3 linked regions of the Saccharomyces cerevisiae S288C genome follow. The gene in region 1 interacts genetically with each later gene. Each region holds a gene or a part of one and is shown on either strand. Other genes may lie near its edges. The genes, in order: HEM2, DAP1 and HEM13.

The links.
Region 2: of HEM2 (region 1) and DAP1, extra expression of one rescues a mutant of the other (dosage rescue), as found in Saccharomyces cerevisiae (one study listed by BioGRID).
Region 3: of HEM2 (region 1) and HEM13, changing one enhances a phenotype caused by changing the other (phenotypic enhancement), as found in Saccharomyces cerevisiae (one study listed by BioGRID).

Annotation. Positions count from the first base shown.
Region 1 is NC_001139.9:417,728-423,089, reverse strand, and holds HEM2 (porphobilinogen synthase HEM2), read left to right. Parts: upstream 1-2,534; coding exon 2,535-3,563; downstream 3,564-5,362. Other genes in the region: DPC13 (Dpc13p), read right to left, coding at 3,801-4,265; YGL041C-B (uncharacterized protein), read left to right, coding at 4,204-4,386; transcription elongation factor DST1, read right to left, coding at 4,678-5,362. UniProt on the Saccharomyces cerevisiae protein: Catalyzes an early step in the biosynthesis of tetrapyrroles. Binds two molecules of 5-aminolevulinate per subunit, each at a distinct site, and catalyzes their condensation to form porphobilinogen.
Region 2 is NC_001148.4:226,715-231,137, forward strand, and holds DAP1 (Dap1p), read left to right. Parts: upstream 1-1,599; coding exon 1,600-2,058; downstream 2,059-4,423. Other genes in the region: OYE3 (NADPH dehydrogenase), read right to left, coding at 1-657; MEX67 (Mex67p), read right to left, coding at 2,325-4,124.
Region 3 is NC_001136.10:542,945-548,291, reverse strand, and holds HEM13 (coproporphyrinogen oxidase), read right to left. Parts: upstream 1,651-5,347; coding exon 664-1,650; downstream 1-663. Other genes in the region: DNA-directed RNA polymerase III core subunit RPC11, read left to right, coding at 1-314; transcriptional regulator NRG1, read left to right, coding at 4,923-5,347.

The sequences.
Region 1 (5,362 bases):
TTATCTGTTGAAAAGGTGTGACTATAGCAACTATTAGTTATTATTAGTTTGAATAGAATTTATTCATTATGGGATAAGCTGCTCGTCTATGCAATGGCAAAAGCACTTTGTAACTAAACTAAAACGAAATAAAAATTACAAGAAGGCTTCACCGTCTTCTAGCCTTTGTAGGGGAAAATATTCGGTCCCAGTAGTTGGGCTTTAATATAGAAAAAATATGAAAATCGATTCAAATATTCGCTAAATTTGCAGGATCAAGGTCGCTCTTTTACCTTTCAGAAGGTCATATATTATCTCAGGAAGTACAAGGAGTAAAATTCACAAGGAAGGTTCTACATTTTCAGCACGTTCTGTATAATGCACTGTCTATTCCTCGTGGACCCTCTTTCGGTGGGTGCGTTAGTCAGTTGTATTACACTACACAGAGTTTTTTTTCTTTCTTTTCTTTCTTCTCTATATATGAGCTGATGAACCTTCTGTTATTTTCTGTATTGATGGAAGATAGGATGCAGCATGGACTAGAGCGTTTTTGGGTCATTTTAGTGCAATAGATCCAATCATTCCTGTTCGATAATCTCAAAGGGACATTCCCCTCTGGAGAGAAATTAGTGACAAAGCTGTGGTCAGTTGGATAAGAGTTCTCTTGTACCCCTTGTGACGAAGTAATAAAATAACAAAAAAAAAAATGCAAACGCAAACGCAAGCACAAGCACAATATAGCTTATAAGGCCATTCCTAGCAATTTTGGAAGAAATGGCTATACCCAAATACAGATTTGGCGACAGTTTAACACTCAGAAGATTGCGACATCGTGCTCTATTTGGGATAAAAAATTAAAAGGCTTTGAATCGTACCTTGACTGGGAGGTACGTAAAGCTGAAACGGAACCTATAGATAACCATTGGAACTTTCTGTTCTTGAGCAAAAATGTTCTGCTTTATATATCTATATGTTCCCGCATGGTTTTATTCAAGGTATTCTTTTAATGAAAAATGCAATTGAATGCAGCGGAGTTAGGGGCTTTTTATAGAAGGGAGGAATTTGGCATTACTAGTTGAGAAAACGCTTTCTCATTTGTGTCATCTTAGGGCTTCAAATACCGCTGACAGAAAATTGGTTGATTACTGCGCATTTCACACGACAAATTAATGAAGAATGGCCAAGATCAGAGTAAACCTTGCCATGCTCTCCATATCATGGAACGGCGGCAATTATTTATACTGATAGTGGCAGAAGTACCGACAACTTCGTTCAGATATTCAAACTCTTAGCTGCAACTTGTTGCTAAAATCATTAGAATGTAACCAGTTTCCCATAAGATTTTCTTTATATATGGACTACGAGACAGTGCTTTCAGACCCAAAGTCTAACCATCCTTGAAAACGTCTTCCAATCATGAAATTAAAATCACGGCTCTATTATTTTCACGTCGAGCTTCATTTTGGGCCACTATTAGATCCTGTGTTTTTATTCCAAGGTGTATTGTCATATTTAATCTTGAAAATAATTTCTAATCTGTGTGATTATTACAGTAGATTCTATTGAAACGACACCATACAGCTCATACGAGTCCGGTGTACTGGCACAGAACACAGATGACAATACAAAAGTAAATAAATCTATCGACAGCAATTCCTATTTTCTTTTACATTTATATTGATTAGCTTACGATTTCTGTATTTATAGAGCGTGTAGTTACATATCCAGATACCTGTCTTCTAGGTGAACAGTTGGTTTTCAGTTCAAAAATTATATAGGATCTTGGACGGTTAGCTTTCCTCCTCATGATCCACTCTTTCGGGAACAAGATAAATTATTGTTTAGTTTTGATTAGCTTTACTTTAATTCGCACAAAAAAAAGCCTGCATTGTCACGAGAACATTGAAACATATACAAAAAACAAATTTGAAATAGAAAACAAAGCAATTTACAGAAATGACTGCCTGGTGCTAATTCTTGCATATATTTTATTTTTAATTAACTAGAAATCAGCGTCAATTATAGTTTCTGGTGAGTCAGCCAATGTCTGTAAATAAAAACAATATGCTTAAGAGGATTAACAGTGGCACAAGAGGCAAAGAAGGGAAGAAGGCGTACACGTCCACATGAATATATAAAAAAGAAGTGTTACATCAATTGGAACCCATCTTTCGGAACGTTTTCTATCTGCTACAAGCCTGTGTCACCGAATTACTTTATTGGGTCTTGTAGAGACGCCGAAATACATCATCATTCCAAGATCGACGATAAAAATCATCCAAAAAATTGTTGCCGAAAAAAAAATTGGAAAAGGTGAAAAAAAAATCAAAATACGGGTAAACGAGCAATCCCTGTTCGGTGCGGTGATTGGCTTGAGGCAAGCTTCCCGCTTGATTTATATAAGAGTAAGGCAACCTAATAAATGCTAGCAACATCTATGCGCCACTCTATTGTCTTTGATTTTCTTGCCCAATCAGCCAAATAAAAAAAAGTTTTACTGCTTACTCATATTATTGCTTACTCCAGTAATTCATACCTAGAAAATTGACAAAACCATGCATACAGCTGAATTTTTGGAAACAGAACCAACAGAAATCTCATCTGTTCTAGCAGGTGGTTATAATCACCCACTGCTGAGACAGTGGCAAAGTGAGCGTCAACTGACTAAGAACATGTTGATTTTTCCGCTATTCATCTCCGATAATCCAGATGACTTTACTGAAATTGACTCTCTACCTAATATCAATAGAATCGGTGTAAATAGGCTAAAAGACTACTTAAAGCCATTAGTGGCCAAGGGTTTGCGTTCTGTGATCTTGTTTGGTGTGCCTCTCATCCCTGGTACCAAGGATCCAGTGGGTACAGCGGCTGACGATCCTGCAGGGCCAGTCATTCAAGGTATTAAATTCATTCGTGAGTATTTCCCTGAACTGTATATTATTTGCGATGTCTGTCTCTGTGAATACACTTCTCATGGCCATTGCGGGGTTCTATACGATGATGGTACTATTAATAGAGAACGTAGTGTCTCTAGATTAGCAGCTGTGGCAGTTAACTACGCTAAAGCTGGTGCGCACTGTGTGGCTCCCAGTGATATGATCGATGGTAGGATCAGAGATATTAAACGAGGCTTAATAAATGCAAACTTGGCTCACAAGACCTTCGTGTTATCCTATGCAGCTAAGTTTAGCGGTAATCTATATGGGCCATTCCGTGATGCTGCTTGTTCAGCTCCTTCGAATGGTGATAGGAAATGTTACCAATTACCTCCTGCCGGTCGTGGCCTGGCACGTAGGGCGTTGGAAAGGGATATGAGTGAAGGTGCCGACGGTATTATTGTTAAGCCTTCCACTTTCTACTTAGATATAATGAGGGATGCAAGTGAAATTTGTAAAGACTTACCAATCTGCGCATATCACGTGTCGGGCGAATACGCAATGTTACATGCTGCAGCTGAAAAAGGTGTTGTTGATTTGAAGACAATTGCCTTTGAATCTCATCAAGGTTTCTTGAGGGCGGGTGCCAGATTAATCATCACTTATTTGGCTCCTGAGTTCCTAGACTGGTTAGATGAAGAAAACTAAAAAAAAACGTGCTTACCTTGTGAATAGTAAAAATAATGATGTCAATATGACAAATGTAACAGTGCTGGCAGTATATCCCTATTTGGCAAGCTTTATAATATGCAAAGATGCGACCTAGTATACGATACAATGGAAATTATGTAATCCTCCTAATGAGTATTTATGTAGTAGTACGTAATATTTATACACGGAAGGCGCTAGTAAGACAGATAGGTAATGTTTTTTTACTTTCACCTCTCATTTTTTCTTCTCAAGGCCTAAAACGGTCATTAGCGGGGCCAGTTGTTCAGGTCCTAACTGTATGCCAGATTTTTCCAATTCCAATTTAAATTCCTTCATAGCGTGTCTCAGATCTCTGTCCATTAAGATCTTAATCATTTGCCATGGTTTCATCGTATTTTCTTCATTGGCAGAAGTCCCATCTAGATTAACCAATTTTTTTTCGATCATGATATTGCTAACCTTTTCTAACTTTTCCAGAACATTAGGCCTCGAATTTATTTGATCCATGAGTTTCTGCACCTTTATGTGTGCATCTATTTTGTCATTAGGCTGTCTGTCGTCCCAAGATTGAGCGTAAAATCTTCTCGGAGAAATCCAGGAAAGCCTCCTTAAACTCCTGGTGTGATTAGTGGTAGAAATGTTCGATAGTTCTATCGAACGAGTGACTCTGGAACTATGCTTCCATATAACTCTTAGCATTATGTGTGGCTGTAGTATCTACTTTCTGCTTCTTGTGTTTATTCTAACTTTTTATTCGTCGGTTTTGTTACATCTTAAATTGTATTTCTTTAGTTCTGACCGAGCCATATTTAATGCATAGAAGATTAATAAAGAAAACATGAAAATCATAAATAATTAAAAGTAACTGGACGAACAAAAGATTTTACGTGAGACAGACAAAAAAAATTAACACCAGCAGTATATGTATATATGTACATCGTATATGAATATGCCATTTCAACAAATTGGATATGGTTGTATGTTTGGCTTTTTCTTTTCCTGGATTCCGGCTGTCAAATACTACTACGAATAGAGTCAGAACAGGCTTTTCTGTCCCTTCCTCCTATTGTTTCCTTTGCTCTGTCCGTGGCTACTCTCATCTTTTTCTATTCTAAGAGAATTTCCATCTGTTACCACATGCTTCACATGTACAGAAAGTGGTCAATGGTTCATCCGCAGATCTTGTTTGCAATTGATAGTAAGATACCTTCTTCTCTTTACATTTACCACATGTAAATCTATCGGTGACTGACCTTTCTATGGTGGCACCCTGTGCGTTGTATAAGTTTTGCTTGGCAATTTCTTCTATCTTTTGCTTTAAGGGCGCTGGTGCCAGATCCTTGGCATCGCATGTAGCTAAGAATTCAGGTGTTATATCACCGTTGGCAATTTTATGTTTGAGATCTGGGTTATTCTTTGATATGACGTTTGAATAAATTATACGATACCTGGCTTTGTAAGCGGCTTCGTTGGTGTCACAGTTGTTAACTTTATTCATTTCACTTTCTATGGCCTTTGCAGTATGCAAAATAGATTGAGGTGGATGCTCACTTTCCTTGGCCAAAACGTCGTAGAGTGCTTTTAGTACCTGATCACGTAATTTGTGGTGGTATATAGCTGTATCCACACCATCGTTCTTACTATTTCTTGGTTTAGTGCTGACGTACTTGTCTTGTTTCATGGCATCTGACTGGGAGGAGGCCGGCTGTTGAACACCATTCACGGACTCACCTACAGTTGTCTTGTCCTCTGCATTGCCTGGCGCATGATCTTGATGATGCTGCTGTGCTTGCCTG
Region 2 (4,423 bases), on another chromosome or scaffold:
TTCGATCGTTCCGCCGTATTCGTCGGTCCTCTTATTAGAATGTGGATCCAAGAACTGATTCAACAAGTACCCATTGGCGCTATGAATTTCTACACCATCGGCGCCAGCCGCGATAGAATTCTTAGCCGCATGGATGTAATCCTTGATATACTGTTTAATGTCGTCTTTAGTCAAACTATGTTCGAGATTATTCGCATCTTTGGCCTTTTCTTGTAACGTAGCATTCATATACACTCTGTCAGATGCACAGTCATAGCGTAACCCGTCTCTTGCCAATACGTCTGGGAAGGATGCCCAGCCTAAAGACCAAAGTTGTACCCACGCGAACGACTGACAATCATGGATGGCTAAAAAGATATTCTTCCACTCAGCGACCTGCTCATCAGACCAAATCCCAGGGGCGTTGTCATAGCCGCCGGCTTGAGGGGAAATAAACGTACCTTCCGTGATGATCATGGTACCAGGTCTTTGAGCACGCTGACCATAATACACAGCAGCCCACTCCTTATTTGGAATATTTCCGGGGTGAGTGGCCCTCATTCTGGTCAATGGGGGCATAACCGCACGATGTGCAAGCTGAGTGTTACCAATCTTAATTGGTTCAAAAAGGTTTGTGTCTCTTAGGGAGATCGGCTCAAAACCTTTTACAAATGGCATCTTCTAAATTTAAACTTCGCTATACTGAACTACAGTTGTTGTATATATCAAGTACGTACTTTTTTGCATATGATGGGCAAGAATCAAGCACAGTTCACAACCCTTATATAGGTTCGAGTTGTCCTACTTACAACACTGTGCTTAGTAATGGTTATTGCGACTTTATCCTTGTTCTGAACGGAGTTATATCAGGAACGCAAACTGCTTACTAAGGAGCCCTTCTAAGGAGCCCTCCGCAAATAATAGGATCGGCAATTTCAGACGGAGGACGGAGCCGCCTAAGTGCCAAGAACATTAAAGAAGAAAGAAATAAACCTTGAGCGGCTACACGAAACAGTGGTCAAGAGTAGAATCTCTGAAACGTCGAACCCTCTTTGTCAGTTATCGCGGGCATATTCTGAGAAGAAGCAATATACAACAAACGAGCAGGACAGATTAAAATTTTCAAGGCGAGGTAAGCTGTGCCAGATCAGTGTGGGACGACGCTCAGTAGTTGGCGATCGAAGCACGTGATCAGTTTTCCACATCCGTGATTTGGCGCAAATTACCATGTGAGCGTGCGGGAATAAGCTCCTTTATTTGCGGAGCGACAAAGGAAACGAGACCATATTACCCTACCTTCCTTGTTTTATTTTACTTTTTTTTCTAATTTTAATTTTCTTCGTTCCTTCAACTGTATGTACCCTTTTTCTACCGGAAATAAGACGGTCGTAGTGTCCGCGTTTTTGGTTCTTTAACGACAAGACATCAGTGCCTTCTCGCATTTTTGTTGAATTGTATTGTATTATGCTCGATGTTTCCAGAACGATATATACATCTGAGAGTTTATATATCAACGATCATTTTCTTGTTGCAGTAAGCTATAATAGACGCGTCAAATAGTCTAACCAGTCTAAATCTCATCAGCCACACACACGTACATCGGAATATTATAGAGAACAAATGTCCTTCATTAAAAACTTGTTATTTGGAGGTGTTAAAACAAGTGAGGATCCAACCGGGCTCACAGGTAACGGGGCCTCAAACACAAACGATTCTAATAAAGGTAGTGAACCGGTAGTAGCGGGTAATTTCTTTCCTAGGACGCTTTCCAAATTTAACGGCCACGACGATGAAAAAATATTTATTGCTATTAGGGGCAAAGTATACGACTGCACAAGAGGGAGGCAGTTTTACGGTCCAAGCGGGCCATACACTAACTTTGCAGGCCATGATGCGTCGCGTGGTCTTGCATTGAACTCCTTCGATCTGGACGTTATTAAAGATTGGGATCAGCCTATCGATCCCTTAGATGATCTGACAAAAGAACAGATTGACGCACTGGATGAGTGGCAAGAGCATTTTGAGAATAAGTACCCATGCATTGGTACTCTGATTCCGGAGCCTGGCGTGAACGTATGACGATTGAGCTCCGCACATTATTTATTAATAGCAAACACCAAGGAAAGGGAAAAAGGAAGGGGCGTGGTGGACGATGATATATGTATACATATACATATCTATATTTTGAAAAAATCTTCTATATAACGGTTGTATAGAAATAATTACTTATTTATGAATTAGTACAAAATATACAAAGCATGCTGCTGTTCGGAACGTGACGAAAACAGTAGCTTAAACTGTATATTTTTTGTGATACTGTGCGGCTGAAACAGGGAACAATATCATTAGAACTGCACAAATGCTTCTCTAGGGATGCCATTCATGCTACTCTGAAAACCCTTTATGGCAACTTCATAGTTCCAGTTACTTTGCTCGGCCAACATAAACGTGTATTCTGCATTCAATTTCGTTTCCAAATGTAGTTTATTCAGCAGCTCGAGTTGTACGGGATTTAGCCGCGACTGGACATCTGGAGGTAGTTGCAAAGTGGGAGCCATGACCATGGCTCCTTGGGGTGCGCCGGGAATGCTCATCCCTCCTGGTACCACTGAAGGTTGTGGCTGCGGTGGTGTCGTTATATTTGGGTTCATGCTTGCGACCTGTGGTAGGACCGAGGCCTGTTGCTGTGGAGGCTGTGCTATTGCAATAGATGCAGTTTTCCAAGCGCCTGTGGAATACGCTCTTACAGTTAACAGATCAGATGCGATTATGACACTATTATTCATTGGAACAATTACCCAGGTTCTATCAAAGGATTTTTTGGATAACTTATTATTTGATGTGGAGTTGTAACCATGATTGTATCTTCTATTCTTTTGATAGTTATTTTTCCCCGTTTTTTTATTGGATTCCAGTTCAGGCTTGCCAGTCTCTTCAAAAAATCCGTGCAACGTAATAACGAACCCATTTATTTGAGGATAACTAATTGTTTCCATTGAGTATTCATTGGGTTGTTCTTGTAAATGGTGCTTTGTTTTCGGCAAAGTCTTGAATATACTATTAATGGACTCTTGCCCGATTGACAATCTCTGCTGGATAGATTTTTCACTGGACACTTTGGATATATTACGTGAGGACGACATGTAATAACCAAATGCTGGAGTTTGGTCCGAATCTGTTACCGTAGATGGAGGAATAGTAGAATCCACGGAAACAGAAAACTGGGATTGGGGCGAATACAAATTTAACAGTTGTTCTCTATTATTATCCCATAGATTCAAAAAGTTAGTTGCAAAGTCTGTAGATGATTGCCCTAATGCATCGTTTTCGAAAAAAAACTGTTGAATCTTCATCGGTAATGAGTAAACGGTTTGCAATTTTTGTTCGTCTCTCACAATCACGTTATCTAGTACAACCAATTTCGGAAATAATCTTAACATTTCAGTGCGATACAACTTATCGGTGGTTATCGGGTTATTTGTCATCAAAAGCTCTCTTAGATCTTTGAATTTGTTCTTCCAAACTTCTAGCGATCTAAATCTAAAAATCTGATTGTTGGCCAGACAGAGGTTTTTCAAATTAGGAAATGTTTGAGCCAATGTGGAAATTGCTGAGATGTCCTTAAGTTGGTTGTCAGCAAGATTGACACTTTCCACTATCAAACTTTTTTCTGTAGAAGCCAGTTTCATCATTGCTGGAAACATCTTAGACTGGGTGGAGATGGAACTAAAGACGCCCTTTTGAATTAGCTCGGGATCTGAATGTAAAGCGCCCAAATTTAGTAATTTTGTTTGTGGGTCATACCTCTTAAGGAGCACCCCCCTCAAGAACGAAATGGTGTCTGAAGTTCCCGCAGAGGCCCCATTGTTATCTAAAAGTTCGAACTTTAAATTACTGCCTGCAAACCGGACACCGTTCCATTTCATTAACGATTCTGCTTCTGCCTTTGAGTTGACATATCCAATAACTAAAGGTCCTTCCACATGAGCGTCATAAACAGCTACTCGAGCGTTGCGGCTTATAAAATTAATCAAATCGTTCATGGTTGCATTCTGCCAGTTCCTCACGCTAATCTTTATTCTATTTTGTTGCATCTGCTGTTGAGCCATCATATTGATATTTCCAACATTGTGAAATCCGCTCATTTTTTTTGCTGCTATTAGCGATGCAGAATTTTTAACGATTTATTTTACTCTTCCTTCTTAGAGTAAGTATGTCTTCAACAGTCTGTTACTATTTTTTTTTCTACATACTCAATTCAGCTCTTACTGAAATTTTCTTCTGGAAAAAAAAGGAAGACGGGTAATGATGATCTTATATAACAGTATAATCTGTAGGTATATTTATCGTTAGAATCCTCTACGAAAGGCAAGTGGGCATGGATTTCTAGCTTTTGAAGCCGCGTTTAAGTTTCTTCAGAATTAATATTCGTAGAAATTTTCTG
Region 3 (5,347 bases), on another chromosome or scaffold:
CGTGTAACAATATGCTACTGATAACGAGTGGCGATAGTGGTGTATATACATTAGCATGCCGTTCATGTCCATATGAGTTTCCTATAGAGGGTATAGAAATCTATGATAGGAAGAAACTTCCAAGAAAGGAAGTTGATGATGTTCTTGGTGGTGGTTGGGACAATGTGGATCAAACCAAAACCCAATGTCCCAATTATGATACTTGTGGTGGTGAGAGTGCTTACTTTTTCCAACTACAAATTAGGTCAGCTGATGAGCCGATGACTACCTTTTATAAGTGTGTAAACTGTGGTCATAGATGGAAGGAAAATTAAGAAGTCCTTGAATATAAGATGAATTTTCTAAGAATAAAAAGAGTAATAAAAACATCTTAAAATTTGATTAGAAGGCATGATCGCATATTGAGAATGAAGGCTGCTGCCATATTTTTAGAGCAATAGATACTGATATAATTTTTGATCCTGCACGTACTGTGAACTTGCATCATAAATAGGACGCAATAATTAATATTTTTAAGAATAGAGATCCTGTATCAATTGAATTTGAAGAATTATGTAAAGGAGGTATAATAAATAGATAAAAAAATGTATAAATAAGTGGTCGAAATAATTAAATCATCATTGTCATTGAGATCATAAAATCGGTCTGCTAAAGAACCTTGAATTATTTAACCCACTCTCTTGGTTTGGTGGTAACTTCTAGTAATTTAGCTTCTCTGGAACCAGGAGCAGGGTGGTGGTTGTATAACCATGAAGCATGTTCAGGCAAACTCATCAAAATTGACTCAACTCTAGAGCCTGGGGTTCTCAAACCGAATTGGGTACCTCTATCGTAGATTAAGTTGAATTCAACGTATCTACCACGTCTAATGGCCTGCCATTGTTGTTCTTCCTTTGTATATGGCATATCTTTTCTTCTCTTGACGATAGTCAAGTAGGATGGCAAGAAAGCATCGAAACAGTCTTCAACCATCTTCAATATTTCTTGTGGGTCACGTTCATCATAATCGTCAAAGAATATACCACCAATACCACGTGTTTCCTTACGGTGGGTAATGTAGAAGTACTCATCACACCATTTCTTGAAACGTGGGTACAAAGCAGTGTCGTGCTTGTCCAAGGCATCCTTGTGCAGTTGGTGGAATAATTGACCGTCTTCTTCGTATAAGTAAGAAGGTGTCAAATCAGCACCACCACCAAACCACCAAGTTTGTGGGGTCCCATCTTGGTTCCAAGTTTCGAAGTAACGGTAGTTTAAGTGCGTGGTTGGAGCGTGTGGGTTAACGGGATGAATGACCATACTTAAACCACAAGCGAAGAACTTGACACCGTCGGTAACTGGCAAACCAGTCTTTGGATCTTCTGGTAGACGCAGATTCTTATGATCAGCTTTCATGGCTGAAACGGCCGCTGGGCTCAATTGACCATAAACAACGGAGACATTAACACCACCTTTTTCGAAAGTTGTACCGTCTTGGATAACCATAGAGGTACCACCACCACCATCGTTACCACGGGTCCAAGTATCAGCGTGGAACTTAACAGTATCGATGGATTCCAAACCTTGCGTGATTTCAGCTTGTTTGCGACGGATAAGAGCTTCCATTTGTTGTCTAATTGGAAGATTCCTTGGATCTTGAGGGGCAGGCATCTTTATGTGTATTTAATTGTGTTCGAAGAGTTCGGTTTGCTATGTTTGATTTGCGAAAAGAAAGCTTTTGATATGCTCAAAAAAAGAAAACCCGGAGAATAAAAGCTTAACAAAGAAAGACAATAGGTGGAAAAAAAAAGGAAAATCCGTGTCCTTATATAGCCTTTCGAAACGAGAACAATGGGCAAAGCAAGCTTTATCTTCGGATCGTCCGTCAGCGCTTTGGTTGCAGTCTTATGCTTTGTTCAAGCTGGAGCGTTATTGGTGGGAGAACCAGAAAAGGCGAAAGCGTAGCGTTCTTTGAAATTTGGCTTCTGTTCCTGCGACTCGTTTAAAAGTAGAAGGGCCCGCGGAGCCGCTGTGAAAGATTTCTTTTACTCTTTCAGCGCAGAAATCTCGCAGGAGCTCAGCAGAAAGTGCCTATGACGGTAATCCCAGGGGCTAATGGTGTGAAGGCACTTTCTAAACAATTGAAATTAAAATACCGTGCCTATAGTAACTTTTTTTTACGCTGTGAACCGTTCAACACACAGTAAAAACTCCGCAGGAAATGGTTTGAAGAATCTTAATCACGAATTAGGCGTATTGTTTTTCCCAACAGTGAACGAGAGGACAAACTCCAGAGGATTTGCGGGCTTGATGATAAAATGTATTGTTGAAAAGATCGCGAATGCAACAATTACGGTGGGGAGAAATATCAACAAAAGGGCAAGGCTATGCCTTCTGGAAAGTGGCAGACTTGCACTTTCCTCGAAAAGAAAAATGACCGCAAGATCCGGTTGTTCTCAACCTTCTACATTAAGACATACTTCTACGATTTTCGAATGCCGAAGCAACTATCGCTGAAATTTGTCATGTCAAAATTGCTACTGGGGGAGAAGAATATATATGGAAGTAATTATTATTTACGTTGCTGAAATGGCAGGTTAGACGCATGTTTTGCAAAATAAGTGGTTTTGAAAAGAATTGATACTAGGAATCGGTGCAATACCTTCTACCTTTCTTAATAGGTATTCTTGAATAATCTACCTCACTTTCTGTCCCAGATACGAGATGTCGAGCGCCTCGAAAATAGATATCGTTTATTACGTTAGATACGGAAAGGTCTACGTGTCATAATAAATTGCATCTGGATTGCGATTTTGGGTCATGCCTAACTGGGAAAATATTTACATCTCCATGTTCTCATTCTGCCTTTGCTTTCCTTCAAAACATGGTTTTCAATTCAACCTAGGGTCTACCGCGGAACCATATGTACGCCGTAAATGCGAGTGTTCTTGAAAGGTAGTAATGTGTTCCCTCTCAATATGTAAGTCCTTCAAGAGTATGCACTTGCAGTTGCACTGTTTCGGGTAATTATCCGTCATTAAGAAAAAGATGCTTCCACTTTCTCGTGTTTTTACGCACAATCGTGCCATTTAACCGGAAATAGACTCCATTGCATTGATTGCTCTCATAAAAATTATAGCCCGCGTTTGATACTTGTTTAAAATAGGTGTCGACAAAGTTAGTTTCTGTCTTCCATTTAGTTTTTACAATATGACACGTCAAATAAATCTTTTCGATTTAGTTAAAAGAGTTACCTGGCGATAGCCTTCTGGTAAAACACCTATTCATAAAACAATCTTAAAAAACCAAAAAATTACCAAACAACTATGTAGGACATATTTTTACAGTTCATAAAAACGCTTCGAGCTGCCGATATCGGTATCAAACACCAAAATATACATAGTGCTGGTTTAAGCCAGAATATCTTGGTGAAGCTGCGCCTATATGCCTTGTATTTAAAACAAGTCACGAAAAGCTATTGCCAAAGGAACATAAAAACTCGTATCTATGTTATATTATAAAAAAGATATAATATTTATATATTATTATTAATATTATTTTTTAGTTCCGAAAGGAGAAACTTATAATTTTTATATCATTATTTATTATTATTTTTAATTTCAACTCCTTTTATACCTATTACTGCATGTGGAGAAAAGATTAAACCAGGCGAGGCAATTTACACTTATTCATTGAGATAAGATGAAAGAGCCACGCCTCGTTACATTTAGGCTACATCATATAACAACTAGTCCCAGCCTCCCCCCTTCCCCACCTTGGAGTACTTTTCTCCAGAAATAGAAAGCTAAGAATCAAAATCGCACCATTACGTATGAGCTCATTTGCCGTCTTTTCCCCGACAATCCGGCACAAAATCTGGCTACCCGTCGTATGTATGGTAGACGATATTATGTACTCTAGTAATGCTATGTACGAATAGTTTCAGACGGGCACAGGGACCTAGAACGCCAAGCGCAAAAAAAAGCTGATAGGAATTCGACGTCACGAACCCTTGGAGTAAAAGAAAACTAAAATATACGAACTTCGCGGAAAATAAAAAACTTTTCCTTCAGTTGTTCCTCGTTCGAAACAGTAATCTACACGGACCGTTGCTTATTTTTAGCCAGATTCTAGTTAAATAAAAAAAAAAGAAATAAAATTAAAAAAAAATTAAACTGTGGCAGATAAGCCTTTCTAATCGAGGCAGTGTGTTTCTTTTGACTTCACCGTTTGTCTTCGCATAGTTCCCCTAAATATTCTAACTAGAAAAATCGCTAGTATTTTTCTACTTATAAGTTGATTTTCCGCATATTTGTCTTTGAAACGTTTGAGACAGGGAAAACTCTGTTTTCTAAAAGAGGAAAAAGCAAAATGAAGTATTGGCTTGGTTGCGGTCAACACCCTCAGGGAAAGCCAAGAAATGCTTTTTACTGTTTAGCAGTGAAAAGGCCGCACCGGAAAAGAAGGGAAAAATTCATTGGGTCTAGATTTTTCTTATCGGTAAAAGACTATGGCCTCTTGAGGACCCTTAAGCGTGAAACGAAACGCGTTGAGCGCGCAGAGGGGCTTCGCCGCCGGTCAGGGTGTTTGGGGTGTTTTTTCTTTTAATTATTCTCTTGGCAGTGTCATCTTTCTACAGTCTGGCTGCAGGCTCCTTTTCCGTTATTCATATATAAGGAAGAGAACTTTCCAAACCCAAATTAAAAAAAATTTGGTTCCCATCTCTTAACTAAAAGAAATTATATTACTCCACCTCGTTTACAGTTTTTTGATGCTATAAGGGAATTCTGCAGCTTTTGAAAGTAAAAATCATATCGTATACGATTCTGCAAAGTATTATTGTACTGTAATTCCTACCATTACGGCGCCTTTTTCTACCATTCACCTTTCTTGGATTGTTCCTCTCGACCAGCATATTACTACCCTTCGCAAACTTTCAGGCAATGTTTTACCCATATAACTATAGTAACCTCAATGTTTCTACTATGCCCGCACTGCCGGGAATCTCCGCATTTGATGGAATGCAAGATGAAGAAAACGTTGAAATAAGCCCGGAAAGAAAATATCAGACGCTACTACCAGTTCTAACTAATTCTCATGTGGTAGAGAATGAACTAAAACACAAATTAAATAAGACTGCTTTTGATTTCCGATACCAAACCAAATCAGAAAATGGCTCTGAAAAGTGGGAGCCAAAATACTTAATAACGCCTAATTTACAAACAAGAAGCGTCTCTTTTGACAATTCATCGGTACAATATAATTCAGATTCATCCGAAAAAAGCTCGCTATCACAACTAACTTGTAATTCATCAATAATACAACAGCCTGAGAACGGAATAGTTTCTAATGATGCATATAATAAGAT